Linked DNA regions of Saccharomyces cerevisiae S288C. The gene in region 1 interacts genetically with each later gene. Each region holds a gene or a part of one and is shown in the gene's direction. Other genes may lie near its edges. The genes, in order: GAT1 and GDH1.

Region 1 (4,144 bases):
ATCTGGTGGGCTTTGGATCTTTGGCCAAATCGTGCAGCATTCTGGCAGAGATGGCTGTGGAGTGAGTTCTCAAGACCAATTTTTGACATTCTTCTGGCTTCCAGTTGTAACGATAACCGATGGACCCGAATCTCCCCTGTTCGTGAACGGCTTTGATATTGTCCATGTATGTCTTGTCATCGGGCAAGTCAGCGGTTAGTGGGTCCTTGATGTAGAAAGTGTCTTGCAGGTCACGAGCAGGATGCTGTTGTGGGACGTAAAGGGCATCGAAGTTCCAGAAACCTGTCTCGACGTATTGGTTCGAGGGCATCTCTGTGAATCCCATGGAAAAGAAAATTTGTCTAAATTCCTCTCTGACTTTGTTTAAGGGGTGAAGAGCACCTGAAGATATTTGCACACCTTGAGAATTGAAATTGTAAGGCTTGAACTTCAAGTCCTTGTATGCATTGGTGGAGACCATGTCGGAGGTAAGATCGGTTTCCAATTTGGTGAGGTCGGTCGAGAACTCTGGCCCTTTGGTAACGTTGAAATCTGTGATTTTACCTTGAGCAATTAACTTTCTTTTCTTCAAGTCGTTCAAAATCTTGGCGTCAATGCTATCCAGATGCGAGTTGTTCTTGATTTGCGCTAGAATAGATTGCGTTTCATCAGTAAGCTCATTTAAATCGGTATTTTGCAATTTTGCGGAGAGTTCAAGCTCGTTTGAGGCGTTTTTGGCGATCCAGCCGTTCTTGAAAGCTCTAGCCTGACCGACCTTACCAACTTGAGGACCCAGTTTGGACATCACATCTTTGATTTGAAGTTGACCCAACTCTTGGATGAGCTTGACTAGTTTAATTTCGTACGAACCTTCATTCAAAATTTGAGCACCTTCTTTGGTCAAGTCATACGTAACCGTGTCGACCTTGGAAAACTCTAACTTGTTGTGGGCTTTCAAAGAGTTCAAAGCGGAAAGAACATCTTGAGAGCCGTGCTGAGGGAAAGTTGCCAGTGTGGACTTGATCTCATCCAATTCATCTAGTTTTTTTAGAATTTCTAATTGGAAGTCAGACATCTTTACGTTAGGGGGTGAGAGAGGGAGGGGGGTGCCTTTAATGTATATATACGTAAGATATATATATATATGTATATATATGGAAATGTATTCACAACTTTACATGTGCATTAACCACAAGTACTGCGTACGTTCAAGATTACAGCAATGCGTTTTATTAATTTTTCAAGCATTTTTCACGTAGAGAGGAACAAAGTTTACTGAAAAGAAAAGAGGTAGAGAAAAACAGAAAAATTTTTTTTTTCTGTTTTTCCTGCCTCTTTTCTTTGTTTGATTCAATATGGTCGACCGGGTAAACCCCTGATAAAACGATACCAAAGCCGGGTCACCTAACTTATGGCCAAATGCGACCGGTCCCGCTTTCCGATTTTAGCCGGCGAAGACGTACTTGGCGCCATAATCAAAACCTAGCTTGCCCAATACTTCTGAGTTCTACGTGGTGCAAAAATATTTTTTTTTTTTTGAAAAACCTACCCTATTTCATTATAGATGCATCCATCAGTATTACGGTGTCCTCACACAACCCTGTCTCTGCACAACGTAATACCTCCTTTTCCCGTCTGCTAGCTCTCATTTCGCGGTAATCCAACTTCAACCAGCAACCCGGATCTTCTATACGCAGTCCGGTGTGTGGGTGCATGACTGATTGGTCCGGCCGATAACAGGTGTGCTTGCACCCAGTGCCCAACGTCAACAAAGCAGGAACAACGGGCTGATAAGGGAGAAGATAAGATAAGATAAGATAACAAATCATTGCGTCCGACCACAGGCCGACACATAGCAGAACGATGTGAAGCAGCGCAGCATAGTGTTAGTGCCGGTGCAGCTACCGCTGGTATTAACAGCCACCACAATACAGAGCAACAATAATAACAGCACTATGAGTCGCACACTTGCGGTGCCCGGCCCAGCCACATATATATAGGTGTGTGCCACTCCCGGCCCCGGTATTAGCATGCACGTTTTCTTTCCTTTGCTTTTCCGCCCTTCCCCTGTTCTGTTCATCGCATGTGCATATATATATATAGATATATATATACATTGTACACGGTGCACGGTAGTGAACATAACTATGAGCACGAACAGAGTCCCGAACCTCGACCCGGACTTGAATTTAAACAAAGAAATCTGGGACCTGTACTCGAGCGCCCAGAAAATATTGCCCGATTCTAACCGTATTTTGAACCTTTCTTGGCGTTTGCATAACCGCACGTCTTTCCATCGAATTAACCGCATAATGCAACATTCTAACTCTATTATGGACTTCTCCGCCTCGCCCTTTGCCAGCGGCGTGAACGCCGCTGGCCCAGGCAACAACGACCTCGATGACACCGATACTGATAACCAGCAATTCTTCCTTTCAGACATGAACCTCAACGGATCTTCTGTTTTTGAAAATGTGTTTGACGACGATGACGATGATGATGACGTGGAGACGCACTCCATTGTGCACTCAGACCTGCTCAACGACATGGACAGCGCTTCCCAGCGTGCTTCACATAATGCTTCTGGTTTCCCTAATTTTCTGGACACTTCCTGCTCGTCCTCCTTCGATGACCACTTTATTTTCACCAATAACTTACCATTTTTAAATAATAATAGCATTAATAATAATCATAGTCATAATAGTAGTCATAATAATAACAGTCCCAGCATCGCCAATAATACAAACGCAAACACAAACACAAACACAAGTGCAAGTACAAACACCAATAGTCCTTTACTGAGAAGAAACCCCTCCCCATCTATAGTGAAGCCTGGCTCGCGAAGAAATTCCTCCGTGAGGAAGAAGAAACCTGCTTTGAAGAAGATCAAGTCTTCCACTTCTGTGCAATCTTCGGCTACTCCGCCTTCGAACACCTCATCCAATCCGGATATAAAATGCTCCAACTGCACAACCTCCACCACTCCGCTGTGGAGGAAGGACCCCAAGGGTCTTCCCCTGTGCAATGCTTGCGGCCTCTTCCTCAAGCTCCACGGCGTCACAAGGCCTCTGTCGTTGAAGACTGACATCATTAAGAAGAGACAGAGGTCGTCTACCAAGATAAACAACAATATAACGCCCCCTCCATCGTCGTCTCTCAATCCGGGAGCAGCAGGGAAAAAGAAAAACTATACAGCAAGTGTGGCAGCGTCCAAGAGGAAGAACTCACTGAACATTGTCGCACCTTTGAAGTCTCAGGACATACCCATTCCGAAGATTGCCTCACCTTCCATCCCACAATACCTCCGCTCTAACACTCGCCACCACCTTTCGAGTTCCGTACCCATCGAGGCGGAAACGTTCTCCAGCTTTCGGCCTGATATGAATATGACTATGAACATGAACCTTCACAACGCCTCAACCTCCTCCTTCAACAATGAAGCCTTCTGGAAGCCTTTGGACTCCGCAATAGATCATCATTCTGGAGACACAAATCCAAACTCAAACATGAACACCACTCCAAATGGCAATCTGAGCCTGGATTGGTTGAATCTGAATTTATAGATCCCCCAAAAAAAAAAAAGTACTCGCTTCTTTCCATGTCCGCTTCATATATATATACACATACTAATCAAACTCTATGTATACATAGAATAAAAAGAAGAACACTATATTTATTTCATAAAAAAAAAAAAAAAATAACAAAAAAAGTGCAACATTTATCAAAAGCTCAGTGTGCGTTATGCTTCCATGTGACCCAACATCTATTGCGGCGGTGACAGAATAGTTGAAAGGCGCAGGGCTCACACACAGGAATGGCCCTCCCAAATTTAAAAGAGAACTAAACCAGTTATCCTAGGCAATTACTTTATTTGAGTCTTATATGACGTCACTAGAAGCTCAGTAAGAGCAACCGAGACCTGAACATCCTTTTTTTTTTGCTTCTTTATTTGGCAGCATTTTTCAAAAATAATAAAATGGAAGCCGCGAGTACGAACAATGATGTGTTCTGGGAATACCTCGTCAAAACAAGACAATGGCAAGGATTTTCTTTCATCAGGCAGAAAGATCTGGATCTGAATGGCATCATTTTGTGATGTGTAAAAGCGGGACCTTGTTATTTCGACTTTTTGCATCATGTTGATGCAATTTGCTACTTTTCCGAC
Region 2 (4,124 bases), on another chromosome or scaffold:
GTTTGCAGTGCAATGAGTCCAAATTTTTTTTTAACTAAGAGGATGCCTCCTTCGCAAACTGTATAGTTTTCCATTTTCTTCTGCCATTTCATCTTTGGAGTAACTATTATTTCGCCCCTTTTGTTTGCTGCATATCGCCCCGCTCTCTGCATACACGATTGGATAATGACCAAAGCAAGGTTTAATACGCCCACAGTTAGATATCTATAATTTTAGAGTACGATATTCATCATCATAGGCTGAACCTTGCCTTTCCTTGCATTCTTTATTCCCATTGAGGTATATTTTAAAATTTGTTCGGAGGTAAAGAAGGATAAGCTTTTCTAGTAATTTCCCTCCTCGATCGGCCTCAGATTTCCCGTCATAAAATATACGCGCCATGGAGAGATTTAATGACATAGATGTGCCGCAAAAGCATACACAGCGTATTTTCTTTGAGTATTTAATAGGTAAGCTAAGTTTCGTAGCTCGTTAGTAATATTACTCTATGGATTCTGTGCCACTTCTTCAAACAGGGCGCGAAAACCTTGAAGAAGCAGCGCACTTGATGCCCCTAGTGAGAGTCACGTGACGGTTATCCCATTTAAGGTATTCCTGTTGCGACCCCTCTCACACAGATATATCTTGCGGCTAGAGATAGGTTGTGATTAGGAATAGATCTGTAGATGTCTAGAGGAACGGCTAATGATTGGAAACGTCCGAGGAACATGAAGAAAGACGTAAAGTGGTAGCAATTCCGCGCTTGTAACTTGCGTGGCATGACCAGAAAGCCCACTTCTCTATCTGATTGGAAACCAAGTTTCTTCGGAACAATCTCTGCTTCAAGAACCTGCAATTTCGAAAATTTTTACCAAGCCGTCGGCTCCAATCGCGTAAGTGCAAGAAACTTTGCGTAAGCTGATCTTAGATCAGCACTCAAAGCCTTCATATTCTACCAAGAATGACAGCTTCCCAAGTTATTCTGTAAAGTGTAATCTCGCATACAGTAGTTCAGCGACAGAAGCTTCGAAAACTTCTCTTAATGATGGACTCTTCGACAGTAACAAACTAGCACACCGAAGCTCCCGACAAGAAGGAGATGAACTTCTTTAGGTTCAAGTCCGCTAAACTCTACAGTGATTCTGTCCAGCATTGGCTTTTTTTCTTGAATTATTCTAGCGGGCTGTGGCCAGTATACCAACCGAGCCAAACCATATTAGTAACTCCATTCAGTATAAAGTGGCACTGCTTCATGGGGCTGCGATAAAGAGTCCTAGAAGACCATGCGTTCGAGTCGATCTGGGCACCACTCCGCATCTGGGCATAACCTGAATTATACAACAATAACGTGGGGGAGGGCATCGTTTACGATTGGCTGGATAAGAGGATTTCATAAGGAATATGATGCTACATCCACTCAGGTCATTATTCTCTAGTGTATCAGGCTCCCCTTATGCAGGTTCCATGACTCCATGGAAACGGGCCTGATCTTAATAACCTTATCTGACCATCTGATTGGATGGCCTCGATATTCTTATCGCAGAACCAATGCGCCGGAACCGGCCCATGCATTTTCAGTGCGGTGGGGCAATAAAAAAGAAATAGTACGACCCCACGTCCAATCAGCAGAGAGAAGCTGTTATCAGCTGCTGCGCCGTTTTCTTTTTCATCAGGTACCATAATGAAAATCAGCACTGAAAAATTGCGGAAGAAGAAAGCGTAAGAAGTAGCAGCAAAGGCCGGCTTCTTGTTAAAGCAAAGTATACGTAATCTAAGTAAGAGAAGATTGGAAAATTTTCTGTTTTTCATATATAAAATATACGAGAGTTACAAATGCGTTTACCCATTTTATATTCTCTCACTCTTTAAATGACTTTTCTTATAGCATTGAAAGTTGCTTGATACGTACTATCGCATTATTCTAATATAACAGTTAGGAGACCAAAAAGAAAAAGAAATGTCAGAGCCAGAATTTCAACAAGCTTACGAAGAAGTTGTCTCCTCTTTGGAAGACTCTACTCTTTTCGAACAACACCCAGAATACAGAAAGGTTTTGCCAATTGTTTCTGTTCCAGAAAGAATCATACAATTCAGAGTCACCTGGGAAAATGACAAGGGTGAACAAGAAGTTGCTCAAGGTTACAGAGTGCAATATAACTCCGCCAAGGGTCCATACAAGGGTGGTCTACGTTTCCATCCTTCCGTGAACTTGTCTATCTTGAAATTCTTGGGTTTCGAACAAATCTTCAAGAACTCCTTGACCGGCCTAGACATGGGTGGTGGTAAAGGTGGTCTATGTGTGGACTTGAAGGGAAGATCTAATAACGAAATCAGAAGAATCTGTTATGCTTTCATGAGAGAATTGAGCAGACACATTGGTCAAGACACTGACGTGCCAGCTGGTGATATCGGTGTTGGTGGTCGTGAAATTGGTTACCTGTTCGGTGCTTACAGATCATACAAGAACTCCTGGGAAGGTGTCTTAACCGGTAAGGGTTTGAACTGGGGTGGTTCTTTGATCAGACCAGAAGCCACTGGTTACGGTTTAGTTTACTATACTCAAGCTATGATCGACTATGCCACAAACGGTAAGGAATCTTTCGAAGGTAAGCGCGTCACCATCTCTGGTAGTGGTAACGTTGCTCAATACGCTGCCTTGAAGGTTATTGAGCTAGGTGGTACTGTCGTTTCCCTATCTGACTCCAAGGGTTGTATCATCTCTGAAACTGGTATCACCTCCGAACAAGTCGCTGATATTTCCAGTGCTAAGGTCAACTTCAAGTCCTTGGAACAAATCGTCAACGAATACTCTACTTTCTCCGAAAACAAAGTGCAATACATTGCTGGTGCTCGTCCATGGACCCACGTCCAAAAGGTCGACATTGCTTTGCCATGTGCCACCCAAAATGAAGTCAGCGGTGAAGAAGCCAAGGCCTTGGTTGCTCAAGGTGTCAAGTTTATTGCCGAAGGTTCCAACATGGGTTCCACTCCAGAAGCTATTGCCGTCTTTGAAACTGCTCGTTCCACCGCCACTGGACCAAGCGAAGCTGTTTGGTACGGTCCACCAAAGGCTGCTAACTTGGGTGGTGTTGCTGTTTCTGGTTTAGAAATGGCACAAAACTCTCAAAGAATCACATGGACTAGCGAAAGAGTTGACCAAGAGTTGAAGAGAATTATGATCAACTGTTTCAATGAATGTATCGACTATGCCAAGAAGTACACTAAGGACGGTAAGGTCTTGCCATCTTTGGTCAAAGGTGCTAATATCGCAAGTTTCATCAAGGTCTCTGATGCTATGTTTGACCAAGGTGATGTATTTTAAATAGTCTAAAAGAAAGAAAAGAGGAAAGTTCATAAAAAGTTCTTTCTTTTTTTTAAATAACTTAGATAGATAATGAGATAAAAGAAGTAAAAAAACGGAATCGTAACGCAATTAATTAATTAAGAAAATTGATTATCGGGAGAAAAAAATTTTATTTTTTATTTTATTTTCTTTAAAGTACATATATTTGAAATGATGACATGTGGAAATATAACAGAGACAGAATATTTAATTTTATGTATGTAAGCATCGATTGGACACCAGGCTTATTGATGACCTTACTCGTCCAATTTGGCACGGACCGCTTTAACTTGCAAGTAGTTTTGTAAAGCATCAACAGACATTTCCCTGCCCAAACCAGATGCATTGAACCCACCGAAAGGAACTGCGTGGTGGAAATCGTTATAAGTGTTTATCCAGACCGTACCCGCATTAACTCTATCAGCCACTTTTAAGGCGGTATTAATATTAGAGGTGTGAATACCAGCAGCCAACCCGTATTCAGAATCGTTCGCCATGTTAATGACTTCGTCGGCAGATTTGAATTTGGTTACAGTGACAACAGGGCCAAAGATTTCCTCTTTGACAATTCTCATGTCTTCCTTAACGTCACCAAAGACAGTTGGCTTAATGAAGTAACCCTTGCTACCTAATCTTTCACCACCGGTAATCAAAGTAGCACCTTCATTCTTACCAATGTCAACGTATTTCAAGATTTTGTTTAGTTGCATTTGAGAGGTTTGTGCACCTTGGAAAGTAGATTCATCGAATGGGTCGCCCACCTTGATGGATTCAGAAGCGGCTTTGAACTCTTCAATGAATT

Evidence for each region.
Region 2: of GAT1 (region 1) and GDH1, changing one suppresses a phenotype caused by changing the other (phenotypic suppression), as found in Saccharomyces cerevisiae (one study listed by BioGRID).

What each region holds. Positions count from the first base shown.
Region 1 is NC_001138.5:93,957-98,100, forward strand, and holds GAT1 (Gat1p), read left to right. Parts: upstream 1-2,009; coding exon 2,010-3,542; downstream 3,543-4,144. Other genes in the region: FRS2 (phenylalanine--tRNA ligase subunit alpha), read right to left, coding at 1-1,054. UniProt on the Saccharomyces cerevisiae protein: Positive regulator of multiple nitrogen catabolic genes.
Region 2 is NC_001147.6:1,040,855-1,044,978, reverse strand, and holds GDH1 (glutamate dehydrogenase (NADP(+)) GDH1), read left to right. Parts: upstream 1-1,936; coding exon 1,937-3,301; downstream 3,302-4,124. Other genes in the region: YOR376W (uncharacterized protein), read right to left, coding at 1,420-1,788; aldehyde dehydrogenase (NADP(+)) ALD4, read right to left, coding at 3,580-4,124. UniProt on the Saccharomyces cerevisiae protein: Catalyzes the incorporation of an ammonium ion into alpha-ketoglutarate to form L-glutamate, the major route of assimilation of ammonia into an organic form in yeast.